Linked DNA regions of Drosophila melanogaster. The protein of the gene in region 2 purifies or fractionates together with the protein of the main gene of each other region. This does not show direct contact. Each region holds a gene or a part of one and is shown on either strand. Other genes may lie near its edges. The genes, in order: CG1504 and DIP-gamma.

Region 1 (8,375 bases), on a different chromosome or scaffold from region 2:
GCGGGCTTCCCAAAGTGGTTTAAGGCTTCTTCTTTCGGCTCTTGTGTGGCCTCTGGGTCGGCCTTTAATTTTAAGACCCAAATAGCGAAATAACATGAAAGTCCACCCCACGAACGGAACGGAATGGAAACAATGCTCGAAATTATTATGCCCCAGCGCGACACCTCGGCCTCCTGCCGCACGAGATGCGACTCCTCTTTAACTGCAGTGGGGATGAGTCGTCGAACTTTCGGCCCCAGTCAGACAATGATTCCTAATTCCAAATGATGGTCACGGGCAAGAAAGAAGAGACGGTTGGCTGTCTCGCAACGCACCAGACCAAGTTCCCTGGGCTAATTGAACCCACTGAGTCACCGCAACTCGGTGAGGGTATGCAGTCTTTGACTTGGTCGTGGAGTTTCGGTTTCGGTTTTCGGTGCTCCATTCCCCATGCTTGGTGCTCTATGCTGGCCTTCTTTCTTTTTGGCTGCTTGTCTTCTTTGCTGGCTGGCTGGCTGGCATTCCATTTCAATTTGTTGCAGTTACTTTAAACAATTACCAAGGCACACGAACAGCTGCAACGAAGCTGGGGAAAGAATAAAGCAATGGCTGAGAATGGGTGACCCGAGTGGTGACCCAAACAGGTCGAGTTATTTTTTTGTTTTTTTTTTGTTCTTTTGAAACTGCCCCAACACAATTTAATGATGAAGAGGACCAGAGCTGTTTGTGTGTGTGTGTAAATCGGTAAATTTTATGCGACAAATGAGGAAAAAATGAAATTTGTGCTTTCCGAAAATGATGGGGAAAGCTGCGCTCTGTGGTCGGAACTCGGGCTTGATGATTTGATGAGGCGCCTTTCCACACATCCACATCCACATCCAGATATCCTATAACCAATCCCGACCCCCTTTCGACTCCTTTTCTACGTAAATGTGGAATACAAATTGCACTCATTTTAGTTTCTCACGTTTGTTGCATGTTGTACATGACTGCAACGCGCACGCACACAAATTGACACACACTCACAGACACACGTGCCACATTCACATCCACATGCCCCGAAAGGAGGTAGGCCTCGACCTCTGCTTAGTTTTGGAGCACCCCGCTCCCCGCTCCACGCTCCCCGCTCCCATCTTCCATTGCCCATCGTCATCTCCCATCCATTCTCGATGCCAGGACTCCCAGTCGCCCCTGCCTACAGCTTCGCCTGCTGCTCTGTTTTCCTGTCGCTTCATCGGCATGCGACAAACGGAAATGTTGCTTTTATGCTTTAAATATGGCAACTTTGTGGTGTCGACAGACACACTCTCACACTCGCACAGTGGCTTATAGATACTCTGACGCACACTAGGAAGCACTGGAATAAAGGCACTCGTCATTGGGGCATATGATAATTAGTCTCTAAATTCTTCATTGTATTTCTTATTGATTACATTGTTTATTTTTATATGGTGGCTAAAGATTACCTATGACAAACTCTCAAACACCTGGGCTCACTCTAAGCATATGCGTTTTTTTCGAGTGCATTGACAGTCGTGTCGATTGCAAGTCTTGCCTGGTGGCCCCTTATCCACAGGCTTGCTGGGTTTGCTGCCTATGCATCAGCATCAGCCCCATCCTCGGCAACGAGGACCTGCAGCCTTCGATTTTCGTCCTGCCCTCCTCTTTGTGTGTGACTATATCGCAACGGGTGTGAGCGAGTAGTGTTTGAGCGATCGACCATGAAGCCTTCATTATTGCATTTCATGATTTTGCGGTTCTTTATGCTCGTTCCTTTACACTAGGCGGCGACACAAACAGGGAAGCTTCTGCGGGAAAGCCGATGGGGCTGTGGGCGTGGCTGGGGCAGGACACTGGACGAGAAGCGTCTGCCATGTGCCATTTGCCATGTGTTTGGCCTGGCCGGGACTGGTGTCGACACTTTCACAACATCCACACTTCCACATCCTCATCGACAGCAACAAAGACATCGCAGTCAGGGCCAGGATATGGCATATGGCTTTGCCCCGCGTCCTGCATTCACTTCCATCTCGAGAATCGACTGAGCGGACTCGTGTCCGTGTCCCTCATTCAAATTTTCAATATTTTCCATGTGTGCTGCCGGTCGTTATCACGCATTTCCTGCCATTTGCAACCTCCACATCCACATCTACATCTACATCTGCATCTACATATCCATTGCCATTGGCATTGGATTGGTAACGGGAATTGCAGCCGCAAGACACTGGCTACGTGGCCAGCAACCGACTTGACCAATTTGCCGCCCCTGCGGTTCCGGGTTGAGCGCATTAGGCCGCACACTGGGCCGCTGGTCCTGGCTCCTCGCTGGGAATTTCCACTCCGCATAAATGCAAAACCGATCTTGAGGGCACCCCAAACCGAATCGAAGTACAATGGCATGTCAGTTGGGGCAGCATATGGGGCATATATGCCACGTATGACACGGGCTGAAGGTTAGGGGGTCAGCAGTTCAATCAGTGGCACGACGCAGGATACTTACCACACATGTGGACTCATTTCCATATGTGTGCGATACCACTTTCACAGATTAAAATATGATTAGAGTTGGGGTAAGGGTTAATAACCTTCTGAGGAAGAAATATATTTGCCTAACATTCCATTTAGACAAAAACAAACTTGAAATTAATTAATTATCTATCAAAATAGAATCAATTCTTCGGCACAAGACTGCGTATCTACCCATCTCCTTCTACATATCATAGCTTGAAAATTTCAAAGCTATCAATCACATTTGATTTTCAAGCTGACAAATTCCATCTCAAACATAGAATTATTCCTATATAATGCTGGTACAAATGGTAGTACAAACGAGTGCGCATTTCAAATATAGTATAGTATAGTTCTATCTATATATATATATAGATAGTATGTTCAACTATCAAGCTCTAAATTTAACATTTCCTTCAGCTTACATTTCGGAAAGCTTTATGTATAACAAAATGATATCAATCTAACTTTTAAAGTATGATACAACTGCCGAACTTTAGTTCAAGACAAGTAAGAATTTGTATAGCTACTCAATGAACCTTGAATTGAAATAGCCAATAATGCCTTAGGTGATCTCGATAACACTACTGAACATATACTGATTTCACAAACTCATCGCGCACGCCTTCGCAGTACCAATACCCTGCTGATGATCAGTGACAACTGGCTTCCTATCTGACTGACCCCGCCATAATCCTAGTGGCCATATCCGCTGGGGAGCAACAGCATCGCATTCGGCTGTTAATGCCACTGATTGCTAATAAATTGAAAACCATTTCAGCACAGACACGACCCGAAGGCAATAGGTGGCAGAGGATTTGCACTCGACGCCGGACACACCAGCCATCCTCGCATGGGGATCAGAAGCAGAGCAGAGGCAGAAGCAGGAGCAGGTGGACGGACGGGAATTCGAATCGAATCGCAATCGGAATCGGAGTCGAAGCCCCGTCAATGAATATGCAAAAACAAGGCAAACAGTGAATAAAATCAAAATAAAAACCCATTTATCAACACGCATGGCGTGGTCCAGGATGAGGACGCAGTCTATCCATCGCCGGCGTTGGAGGTGGACAAATGTGAGGCGATTGCTGGTGAAGCCGTTGGCCACGTGTTGGCCAAAAGGGAAAAGGTCACAAAAGCAGGTTAAGCTGCTTTTTTAAATAAAGCGCACAGCACGTTAATGCCCGCTGGCAGGACGAAAAGAGAATCCCGCCAGGACGCGGGGTCTCATCCATAATCCTGTGCCACTTACAGCCGGGCCACATGCGAACCACTCCGCTGGCGACCAACGACTGCGGACCACTGCTCCAGCCGGTTCCAGCCGAACGCCACCGACGTCAAACGATTGCCTGAGCCGAGCGGTCACGAGAGGACAACGAGGCTACTTCGGATACGGACTCGGCTAGCGCCGAGCTACCCGATTGGTGACGCCTTCGGCTTCGGCTGGCAATGCGGACAGTGGCGCCGTAATCCGTTCGCTGGATTTTTTGAATTAGTTGCGTGTGGTAGCTTGTTGACATCAGTACCGGGTACCGGATGCGGATGCGGATACGTGCGTGGCCCGCAAATCTCTCGCCAAATCTCGACAAGTCCTAACTTGACGCGACCCGCAGTTCATAGTTTAGAGTTCAGCTGTTCAGCGGCTGGTGTGTGACATCCCCAACTGACATCTTTTTTGTCATCACTCTGTTCTGTCCAGCTGTGTTTCGGTTTTTTTTTTTTTGTTTTATTGGTCCGGGAAATCACGTGTGTGTTGTTTTGAGTGCGAGGTGAGTGATTTCGTTGGTTTTTGTTTGGCTGGGGCCCCCGCAACAGTTGCCAGTTGCGCTTTAAACTACTCCTCAAACTGAGCCGCAAGCCGAACCATCCAAACCTCCAATCCAAACCAAAGCAAACCCAACCGAGCCCAAACCAAAACCAAACTAAGCCCGGCTGATAACTGGCTAAAACCTGACCTGCGGTCCTCGATTGCCTGCTGTTGGTGGAAGGTGGACGGTGGCGGATGGTCGATGTTGGAAGTTGGATGGTCAACGGTTGTCCGTTCAGCTAGTTTTGTGGTCGCTTTGACGTGGTCGCGGGCAATTTGAAAGCCAACACCGAAACGCCGATTACGATAAGTGCAGTCGAATTGAAAGGAGGCGGAGTGGAAATGGGATGGGAATGCGAATGCGAATGCGAATGGAAATAGGAATCATCATAATCATCAAGAGCAGCAGCAGTAGCAGGAGCAAGCAGGAGCAGACTGCAAACTGCAAAGTGCATATTCGCTTTCCGCCTGATGTTGTATTTCATTTTGCCATTCGCATTCGCATTTCGCTTTCTCATCCTTTGTCGTCCTTTTTAGTTTTAGTTGCCAGCAATTGCCGCTGCCAGTTTGCAATTAAAGACCAGCTCCATTCAAATGGCAAAAGTGAGGGGCTGAGGCGCTGAGGGACTAGCTGAAGGACTAACCGAGGGATAACCGAGGGATAACCGAGGGATAACCGAGGCATAACCAGAGGCAAAATATTAAATACTAAATGCCAGCTGCCAAGGGAAAGGCAGTTGCAGTTCAGCCCGCCTGTTGCCGTCGCCTGTCAGCATTTTGCTAAAGTCACTGTCCCACTCGCAGTCACAGTTGCCATCACCATCGCCATCACCATCGCCATCAGCATCAGCGCCAACACCAGCCCAGTCTCCCTCAGGTGTCCTGAGCGACCATCCAGCCACTTTGAGCGTGAACAGGTGAGTGACAATGTGAAAAGGGATCCTAAAGGGATGCTAGCCTGATCGCACAGGCTGATGCCATGTGGGAGGCCCATTCCCGAAAACAAACTGAGGCAAGAATAAAATAGAAATATAAGTGATCCTATGGGGTTTCCAAGCGATGTCATTTATAAAAATAAACCGACTTTCTTGGTACCTATAACTACTGTTACTATAAATTACGTTTATAAACACTATAAACACGTTTTTCCAAAAATGAGGTCGATTTTCTTTTACCTTTTCTTTAACTAGTATCCTAATTGGGTCAAAACTGAAAGTAATTATAATGCTCAGACGTTTTAAGCATGAATATTTAATTCGAGAAAAATGGCAGCCATCTGCTATAACAATTTTCAAAGCCAATAAAAGCTCATTAAAACTCTTCAAAGATTGTGCTACTTTAAACTGTCATTAGTAGTATAAAAATACATCATAAAAGTTTCAAATAATAAGTAAGGCCTATGGTATCGATCAATTTACTCTATTGTAAACAATTTGACAAATTTATAAAGTTTGTAGTCTTGGGATCAGCAGTGTGTTCCACTCATTATCTGTCGCCATTAACTGCGTCCTGTATACTGCTATCTATGGATGCTGTTGACTCGCACAAAAAGCCAGGATTGTCTGTTCCCTGAGGGAGTCACACTTTTGCCGCTTCGGGACATTTGTACACCTAATGCATAAAACAATGTATGTATGTTAATTTGCGCGAATACATAAATGTTGATATCTGGCTAAAAAAGAAATATACTCGGATAGTACGTTTCTAATTACTCTAAGCCTTATCCTGAAAATTGAGTTTGCTGGTAAGGATCCATCTCATATCTTGCCCTCCATAAATATTAGATCCATGATCATCGAATGTGAATATCTGTAAAAACCAAAAAAAAACCGCCTGCAGAGATGCCGATTCAACCAACCCCAGCCCTACTCAAAAAGCTCCATTTGGAAGATTTTTTCTTCCTCCTTTGACTCGGACTTCTCCTCGCTCTGTTGATCCTTATCCTTTTCTAGCAGGAAGATTGTCTCGCCAACGAACGGATTACTGCCTACCACTTCGACCTCATTCGAATTATCTTCGTCCTCGTCGCTCAGCATGAGCCGGTATGTAGGAAGCCCAAACTCTGAGGATTCTCCAAACATATCGTATTCCCTGGCCTCGTCGATGTCCTCGCCGTCGGACTCTACCTCTGAGCCCTCACTGTCGCCCTCACAGCAGAGGATCTCGTGGGCAAGCAGCGAAATAGTCTCTTCGCAGAAATTCTCCTGCTCCTCCTCCAAGTCGCTGTCTGATTCTGCCGACAGCAGACTGTACATGCTCGTCTGCGGACTGGTGTCGGGATCGGCCACTGTGCAGCTCTCATCTGGATCGGATGTGCGGTTCGCTATTAGTGGAAACACATTTTTCTAGATTGGTAATCACCTTCGCTATCGCTAGTATAGTCGTCGCTGGTTAGCTCACTCTCGCTAGTGGAAATATCCGAAACGTCCGCGTTTATGTTGATCTGGTCTCTGGAATTGGCAGGGTCGCTGGCCATGTTCGATTGTGTCTAATCCCGGCTCCTATATCTGTACGTCCATGTGCTGTATCTCTTAGTTTCAGACTGTCTGACTGTCTGACTGTCTGGCTGTCTCCTGGTGTGATGTGATTCTGATTCTAAACTTGTTTCCATGCGTGCTGGAAATGTTTTGCCCGGCAAATGCTACTGGGATTAGTTTTGGGTTTCGGGGCTTGGACTATAGATTCGAGATGGGTGCAGGAAGCGACACTGCCAGCACGTAATGTCCTGGGCGCTTCCTTCCAGGACGGCGAATTAAATTTTATGCCAACTGCAATGCCCTTAAAGGCGAAGGCAGAGAGAGAGAGAGAGAGAGGTCTTCGAAACGGAAAAGGCCACGGAGACAGGGCCAAGATGGAGCCGTAGTTGGAGACCGGGCTAACTGCGGCATCGTCACAGGCCGCAGGCCGCGCTCCACATGCACACTGGTTGCCGAAAGGACACAGGACTCCCATAGCCGCACACATACACACACATTCGTACGAGAACGCGTACATGAACTGGCTACCGCAGCAAAGTTACATTTGAAATTTTATTTCCATGGCCGGGGCTCAAATGCAACAAATAAAAACGAGCCACGGAGTTGCCTCTGACCCGGTTCCCGGGTTGTACTCCACTTCGCTCCGGAGTCGCTATCATTGTATCACTCTGATCTGGGCCAGGCGACACGCCTCCTCCGCCTTCTCGGGTATCCACACCTCCGTTGCAAGGACATCCGGCGTGGGACTCGACCATAGCGCACCAAGCAAGCCACTTGATAGGGCAGGCACAAATTGCCAGACAACGAACGGCCTTAATGCAATTGATATAAATTGATATAAATTATTATGAGAGTAATTACCATATCGATGGTGCGGGAACATATATAATTTATTTTTTGCTCTTAAAGCGCAACTAATTAATTTCTGTTCATCTACTTCGTTTATTTATTCCTTGCGAATAAAATAATAATGCACAACAAAGTAGTTGCACTAGAATTTCAGTACTTGTATATTGTTCCATCTACCCTAGAAATACTCTTTATGTGTACCTCAAGCTCAATTGCTTAACTGCAATGTAATTCTAGTCCCATTAAGTGTTTTCTACATTTTTTATATTGTATTTAAGAATTTTTCCTGCTTACCTTTTAAACCAATATACCCCAACGGCAAAGTACCGCCTTCAAACTTTCACCCGTTGCCACTTCGCATTTGCCCACTCCACTCGCATTCCCTTGACCCAGGAGCAGGCCAAGCCAGTGCTACGACGAGTAGGACCAGTTCCAAGACCAGGACCAGGACCAGGACCACTTTGGCGAACCACAATTTAATTTCTGTTTTGGTTTCGGTGCAGTTTTTTGCAGCAGCTCAGTAGTTCAGCTGTTTCGCTTTCTTCTGTACACTGCCTTCTGTCTGTTCCGAGGCCTTCCGGTCGTCAGAGGCAGTCGTTTTGCGGTGCGTCTTTGGTTTCGCATTGTGTCGCCTAAAATTCCCAGGCCCGGCTCTGAAGTCCAATTGCAGTTCCTCCCATGGCCCTATCCAGCTTAAAGCCCGGAATCCGCTGCGTGGCTCCCAAAGTGAATTTGTGGGGGGGGGGGGGGGGAAT
Region 2 (8,389 bases):
TAAATGTGCGTGTTGTGATTAAGCACAAAAGCAAAGTAAGCCAGATACAAAGACGGCCAATTGGACGGCGGACTGCGGACGGACGGACGGAGTTTTCTTGTCCGATGCCAAAGTCCCGAAAGCCAAAATCTCCAACCGCACCGCACACACATAATGTGGGCCAAAAACGAAGCCAAGCAAAAACGCAGCCTTGGCTAACTTTACACACCTCAAGTGTTTGTTTAGGTTGCTTTGCTTTGCCTTGCTTTGCTTGGGGTTTCGGTTTTTGTTTGAGCGATGGACCTGGCCGAGGAGTCCTGGGGTCGGGGAAAACACTTAGGAAAAATTACCAAAAAAAAAGAAGATTAGTGCAACTCGTTCAACTTGCGAGCAAAACCGATGCGCAGTGGTCAAAAGTAGTTTTGCAATCCACAAAAACTTATCTGAGCATTTGCAAAAGCCCACAAGAGTCCACAATCCATCTTAACTATGCATTCGACACTTCAATTATTATTAGGCATGTTGAACTAACAAAATTATAAAATAGTTTGGAGTACGCTTTAGTACTATTGTACTGAACTGAAGTGCATGTAAATGTACAAAGAGTGTAAAGAAGTAGTAGTTTGTTGTTGCATCTTTCAAAGTGGTATTCAAAAACAGAGTACAACATTCTTCCTGCAACCTACTTATGTGAACTGCAAATACACGAGAGTCTTGCATTAAGAAGATTATTTTATTGTAGTGTAGGGGCAGAATTTCCTGTGGCCATTTGACGCTTTTGTTGTTTTTGGCCAGCGGTATTATAAATCTTGCCCGCAATGTAGAAAGCGATCAGATCCTTGCTCCTTCTCCGCCTCCTTTTCGTGACCCCACCATCCACAGCTCGTCGCATCCAAAAACAATGGCTTGGAACCCTATTAGCGTAGAGCCACCCCCCTTGGCAGAAGATTCTCCACAGGAGTGTGTGGAGTTTTCAGGGGTCCGGCCATAAATTGCAACCGCCAGGTGAGCGGTAAGTGGGTGCGGTTTCAGGTGTTGCGAGGGGGCTAATGGGTCACTACTTGATGTATCACACAAACAGACACAAATGATATTTATGCTGCCGCAGTTGCTCCTTCACCAGCTCCATCTTCAGCTTCTCCAGCTCCTTGGGCTTCGGCGGAGGAGCCCGTGAGGCTTCTCACGGCCAGAAGCCGCGCTCTGCTTGGTGTAATAAAAACTAAAATCCGCACAACAATATGTGCGAGGATAATGCCATTTCCGTTTTATGGGATATCCTGTTAGTCCTCCCCCAACCCGCGTGCGAGAGAGTGTGTGTGTGTGAGCTTTCGCATGTGCGAGGCTTCCTCAAGGAGCCCCAAATCTGAGCGAACGAGTTACGACTACACCGGGCAAAAATGAAGAAGCCTGGAGGAGGACTGAAGGAGCTATTGCGGTGGCCATTTCAGTGATGGGTTGCGATAGGATTCGCAGAACGTAAAGGCCACGGTGGCATGCGTGCGAGTCGGGAATGAATGGATCAGGGATCAAATTTTATGGATTGCCCTGGCGCATACTATACTATACATACATTTGTGTGCACTCACATGATAATGAAGTCAGAAGTAAGGAATAAATTCCACAAATTTCATTAGCCTGAAAAGTGGGAGTCACTGGGAATTTAAAGTGCGGGGATCCGATAACAAAGGATTGGGGATTGGGAAATTATTGGAATTCGGATGCTGGCAAGGTTAAGTGAAAGATTTTCCTCCCAGCCTTGAACCAAATTAATTTATTAAGTCGACAATAAATCGTTGATAAATGGCAGCCCAAAGGCATTTTAAAGCTCACATTCACAAATCGTATTGTGCAAGCGCAATGAAATTTAAGCTCAAGTGATTTTAGCAAACGGCAGCTGCACGTAATGAAATTTAAGTAAATACTTCCGAGGTGAAATACTAATCAATTAAAATAACTTATCAAAACTGAAGCGAGTAAAGAAACCCCCCCCCCCTACATAGCATTCCCATCGCGGACTAACAATCAGCTAATCTGTCTTACATATTTCCATATCGCCTCGGCTTCAGCATGGATTACGATGGTTATTCATTAGACGCATTCCTGGACGCCCTTGGCCAACAACTGGGACGCTTGCTGCGGTTTGCCGCAGGACTTTCGTCCTTCTTCTTGCTACCCCTGCCCCAGACAACTCAACTATTACCTCTCTCTTTCTGAGCCATAACTAGGCAAACCTTTTTTGCTCAGTGTGTGTGCGGAACGGCAGAGGAAAAACAAACGTCCGACTGCCGGGAAAATCTGTATAAGTGTGTGTGTGTGTGTGTGTGTGAAGTAAAAAAGCGCAACCGGAGAGGAGACGGATGGACAGCAGGAGGAAGAGAGAGGGGCGTTGGGCGATGGCAGGGCTGGAAGCGGAAAGCCGGAGAGTAAGAAAAACCATAACTAAATCCATTGCCATAGGAAAATCCAAAGCAAAGTCTGCGATGCAAATAGTAGAGATTATGGGACTGCAGATGTATGAAGAACGAGATGGAGCTGAATGTGAAACCCAAGGCGCGGCTGAGAAGGACCCAAAAGGGATCCAGGGAGGACGGAGGACGAAGGTCCCCGGCAGAAGGTGTTATGTGTACGTGTGTACGAGTGTATGAGGCACAATAAATCTTGCAAGGGTGCCGAATGGCCGGGCAAGGGGCCGGAGGCCTCAGGTCCTGAGTCCTGGATCCTGAATCCTGGGCATTGGCATGGATCTGAGACGGGACTTTGGCCTCCATTCTCTACGTCCCTGCTCCTCCTGGGCAGACCCACTGCCACCCAGTGCGCGCACGCCCCGTCAGTGAAAACCAAAACCAAATAAAACTGACATTATGCGAAAAGCGAAAGCCATAACTAAAAGTTGGATAACGTGGCCATGATGGAGCCGAAGTGGAGTGGGCAAGAAATCCGGAGCTGAAACAGCCGTAAAGTTGATACTAAACCAAAGAGCAGAGCTGGCAAAGCTAAAACAAATCGGAGATGCTATTGTCACGAGCTCTGGACGCGCAGGTGCCCTCATTTTAGTGATAGTGTGTAAAATAAATTATAGAAAATTATTGAAAAAATACTACTACTACAGAGTTACCAAACTAGTAAAGCAACCAACGATTTTTTCCGAAATCGGGTCAAGAATTAAAACTATTCCTTGCAATTTACATCAAATGCTAACAAGACTTTCTGGAAATGACTAGTAGTTTTATTTGGCAGTGTCATTAAACTGAGTTTTTCAGCTGTGCGAAAGTTCTTGTCTTCAGGTCTTAAAATATCGTTAAATTTTAATTTTTAAAGCAAACTTCTTTTGCCTAACTAAAATTGTTATAAGATATAGTTGGATTTAAACATTGGTGCCATTTTTATTTTGCAATTTTCAATTAATTGGTACTTAATTAGTACTCCAAGTACCTTATGAATATTACATTTTGCAATTGCTTAAAAAAATGTTAAAAGCATTTCCCGACCATTCGAAATGACATTAGGATATCATTCTAATTGCTGCCCCGGATAAACTTGATTCACTCCAACAGGTTTCAATTTGAACATCCTAGAAGCTCCTTATTGGATCATTAAATCAAGAGCGACTGAGCTGACCTAAAAAACTGAGAGGGCTTAAATGCTGCTAAGCGAACTGAGTTTGTTCCTTAATCGCCATCAGGACCAGCCAGAACCTCCCAGGACCACCCAAAAGGTAAATCCACGGCCCTGAGCTCGCGAATCCAAGCCACCTCGGGAGTGCACCACAATGGATTTGCCACAGCCCAACTCCATGGCACGAGCTGAATATTCTCCGATTTTACCCTTTCTGGGCGCTGGGCGCAAAATGTTGGTGGGGATACAGATATCGGGTATGAAAAACAGAAACAGGAAAATAGAAATGATAGCAAAGTTGCAAAGCGATGCGGTGCGGGCGGGCGGTCTGAAGGGGTTGCTGAAACGGAAATCGACTTTGGTAAGGAGTTTTTCTCGTACCTGTGAATCGGAATCTGAACGCTGGAGCTGCACCGAAGTTATGCAAATGTAAAGTTGTTCGTGCCTGCTCCTGGCTGCTGAATCCTGCCGCAGGATCTGGCACCTCCTTCTGCTCCTGCCGCTGCTCCAACTCCCGCTGTCAATCGAAGGCGATGTCGCGAGTGCTAATGACGTTTGCTTTGATTGCGCCCCGCATGCGAATCCAAATCTGAGCCACAACTCACAACTGTCATTTTCGCAAGGATACTCGCATATGTACGTATGTGCGATGAGTATGTAGAATAGGATGGGTTCTTGAGTGTCTATCTCAGCTGGTACTCGCAGCTCAGCTCAGCTCCTCACCGGAACTCTATTTATTTAATTTGCATGCAATTTTCAATTTTTATGCGGAATACTTGGCATTGACAGCAAACGATGCGCACATTTCGCATCGGCAATGCACAATAGAAATTGAATTGCAAAAATTTGTTTGCCCGTCCAGGGCAGCAGGCAAATGGATTGCGAACACAGTGGAATAGCGGATTTTGAGGGCTCTTCACGTCTTCACGCCAATGTCACAAGGAGCCGCATTCAAGGAGCCAGCGCGAGAGCTGAACGAGTCGAAGAAATCGCACAATTTGGCGGCGAAGATGTCAAGTATACGCCGCGTTGCCAGTGCCACACTGACTGCAATTACAATGGTGGCCAACAACAAAGACGGTATGCCGGTACGCCACACACACAGACACACAGAGGCATACACGGGCACATACGACACACGGAGTTGAAGCCACAAATACGTACGCTCCGCTCCGCAGGATCCGGAGGAGAAGTCTGAGGCGAAGACAGGCGACAGATCCTGGTATTGCCCCGTCGACAGTGTGCGAAATAAATGCACGCGCACACACACGTTCACGAAAAAATCCCGCGAAATTTGGCGACAAAAACCAAAACAAAACAACAACTTCGTGCGCTTGGGATCACGATGAATGTTCGATGCGAAATGCACAAATGCAGCTGCTCTCCACCACCGAACGCTCCGAAACTGAATTCGCAACTGAGCCAGCATGAAAAAGGATGCTGCCATCTGGAGCCGAAACGGCTGGACGCACGAAGGATGCCGACGAGCGGCACGATGACGCGGATGCTTCGGATGCTGGCTCGCAGAGCTTTTTTGGCGAGAGAGCGAGAGGAACTGGCATTGGCGACGTGTGACTTCGTTAAATTTCTGCGGCGACAGCACACAAAACGGATTCGGAAGCGGAAGTAGCAAGTAAGCGAGCAAGGAGCGCTCTGTGGCCATGTCTGGGTGTGTGTGTGTGTGTGTGTGTGGGTGTGCCTCTGTGTGTGTGTGTGGATGGGCGCGCTGAGTGGGTGGAGTGGCGCTGAAGTGGGCGAAGTAGCGCCAAGTGGCTGGCTAAAGTCGACTCGCGGAGCACGACCAGAATGGAAGTTTTGTGTTTGTGTTTTGCAATGCCAACTAAACACACATTCAGCTCCATACACACACACATATGTATGTCTATACATATATTATAAGTCAAACATACCTACGCCGTGGCATCAATATTCACATTCGCACTTGTGCGAGTATTTTCTGATTTGCTGCAATCGCGTTTGCCAACAACGAACTTGGCTAACAACAACAGCTGCCGGAGTCACAGTCGCAATCGTAGTGGGGTATTTTCCAGCGGATGTTTGGTAAATCTTTGGCGCCGGATACCAGCGCTGTCTTCCCCGGAGTCGCAATCCCGCCCCCTTAGATCACCACCCCTCGCGGGACACGCTTATACTCTTTTCATATCTTTCTTGCTCTTACACATGAAGGAACTTTGAAAAAACAATGTAAAAGTATACAAATTTATATGAAAACCTTTATTTAAAATTTTTTACTAAAAAAGGCATTTCATTTATTATCTCATATGCAAGGTATTTCAGTTTAAATATTACATTCATTTTATTTGAAAATATTCTTTTAATAATAGCGTTCATCATTATTCCTATAAAAAAAATTGTATTTTGTAAAAACTTGGACATTTTGCTCAGTGTACTAGCTTACACCCAGGGGTATGTATGTGTTGGTATCGATAACTAATAAAAGCATTACATTTATGTTAGAGTCAAGCGCCGTGGCCCCTTATTTTCCCCCCACTTCTGTTTCGTCCTGAGCAATAATTCAGTTTCCATTTCTCTGTTTTCTTCAGTTTCTCATTTTCATTTTGCAGCCAGTGCATGTGTGCCTCGGCACTCCTCTCACCCTCTCCGTTTTCCCAACACTTTTGCCACAGTCATGGCCAACTAATTGGAAACAGTAGCCAGCTGCGCTTTCTTGGCCCATTTTGTTGCTGCAGCGGCTTGGAGAGCTGGATCCTGGTGTCTCGTTTAGTTGCCAATTGCTTAGTTGATTTTCATTGTCTGCCCTTTGGGCCACACTCACAGGTGGCTAACAGGGCGATGGTATGGGTGGAAAATGTAGGGGTTTTTCCGCTGTATTGGCTTGTAAGTGAAACGATAAACGCTGTAGCTCGCTGTCATTAATTGGCTGCCGGTTGATGTTTATGTCGTTAGCTCTTCGTTACTGCAAAGAGGGAAAAGCGGATGGGACGTTTAATAATCTCATCGCATTCAGCTGGGTTTTCACTGATTTTCCTGATCTTCTTCAGCCGCTTTTAGCTTGATATTCAATTAACTTTTGCAGGACAAATCTAGGCGGGATCTGTTAGGGACAGCCAGGCAGAATGTTAATTAATAACGTTTATGCTCGTATCTGAGTATCTGTGTATCTGGGCATCTGGGTATCTGGTTACTGCACACTGGTTACTGGGGTATCTGGCTGATCTGGTGCTGTGCTAATGCTTAGGCCGGGCCAAAAGAACTATTCTCCATTTCCTCGCCTCAAACGGCTTCCGTCTGATCCTGAGAGCCATGTCTTCGTCTGCAGCCGTTCGTCCTTCGAGCTGTTTTTGTCAGGCTGCTGCTTCTGTTGCTGCTGCTGCGTTCACCTGCCAGCGAGGGCGAAAAGAAAATATCCGGTTTTCAACCGCAAACTGCACTTTTCTACCCATTGTGCCTGGCTCCATTCGTTATCCTGCCACTGCTCCTGCTGAGTGGCCCCATCCCAAGCCCACACAGACGGAGCAAAGGACACGGACACGGACAGACACACGTTCGGGACATTGAATTTGTTTTGGGTTTTGATTTTTCGATTTCAGATTGCACGTTTGAATGGCCAGGACCAGGACCAGAGCAGACCAGGAACAAAATCAGAATCACAACCAGAATCAGATTCGGGAGCTTGTTAGAAGGACCGAAGAGCGAAGCAAGGAAACGGGTGCCGACCCAAGTCCGACAAATTCAAGTCTGAAGTGTTGACTGCCACATTTATCGCAGCTGCATCTGCAGCCACATGAAAATATTCGAATTGATTGCAAAGTGCTGGCTGGCCATTCAATAAACTAATTAAATACAAGTGGCGTATAATTAATTTGCTGTCGAGCACCGATTTCTTGGGGATATCCGGGGAATTGAATTTTTGTTTATGCCCATCCTTAACTAATTAAATTCACCAGCCTGCAGAGTGGGAGCTGCTTTTGCCTTTGCCTTCTAGTCTCAGCATTGTAGATGAAAATTCATCAATTTTCAGCTCGATTCGCTCTTGCTTCGAGCATTCAAATTGTGTTTGCATTCTCAATTTTCATATTTCTCATATTTCTGGCTGCTTTTCCCTACTATTTCGTGTCGTGTTTGTCTTGGCCAAATGGAAAAATGCCGAAGTGAAAATCATCTCAGTTTCACAAAAACTCCAGAACAAAGGAAGTGGAAATTGAGTTAATTTTGCAGTCACACTCCGGGGCTGGCTTTAATAAATATTGGAGTCCGTTGCCAGTAATCGAGTAATCGTCTAATGAATCAGTAGCAAGTCCAATCCTCCAATGCACTTTTCCATTAGCCGGTCCAAAGGCTTGCGGGGATTCTTGGATACATAGAAAGTCTTTTATCTCCCAGTTAATGCACATTGGCTGCAGTTAAAGTCTTCTCCAGCTGGGAGCTCATCAAACTGCCATGCATGGCCTGGCCACATAATTGCAAATGACACCGCAAAGGGAGAACTGTTTCAAGTCTACTTCTTAGGCTCTTTTTCAGCTTTTTTCTGTTTTTTTTTTTCCTGCTATTTTCGTGCCTATTTCCCCTTTTTGTCCTTTGAGCCCTTTGACTGCGGTTGTAGCTCCAACTGCAACTGCAACAGCAATTGCAACTGAAAGTGCAACTGCAACTGCACCTGGCAGCACTTTCCACCGCTTTCCACTTGTTTACCACTTTTTGTTCTGGCCTTGGCTTAGCTTTTCTGCCATTGTTGCCGCTTGTTTGTTGCTTGTTTGTTGCATATCGGGGAATAAGTATTTCTGGCATTATGGCTATATGAGTGCCCGGACAC

The links.
Region 1: the proteins of DIP-gamma (region 2) and CG1504 purify together in Drosophila melanogaster (affinity purification with western blotting; one large-scale study listed by BioGRID). This does not show direct contact.

What each region holds. Positions count from the first base shown.
Region 1 is NC_004354.4:20,325,999-20,334,373, reverse strand, and holds the start of CG1504 (uncharacterized protein), read left to right. Parts: upstream 1-4,001; 5' UTR 4,002-4,256; intron 4,257-4,831; exon of another isoform or gene 4,832-5,211; intron 5,212-5,693; exon of another isoform or gene 5,694-6,159; coding exon of another isoform or gene 6,160-6,596; intron 6,597-6,655; coding exon of another isoform or gene 6,656-6,770; exon of another isoform or gene 6,771-6,930; intron 6,931-8,375. Other genes in the region: CG1631 (uncharacterized protein), read right to left, coding at 6,160-6,596, 6,656-6,770.
Region 2 is NT_033777.3:28,965,356-28,973,744, forward strand, and holds the start of DIP-gamma (Dpr-interacting protein gamma), read right to left. Parts: upstream 5,018-8,389; 5' UTR 3,976-5,017; intron 1-3,975.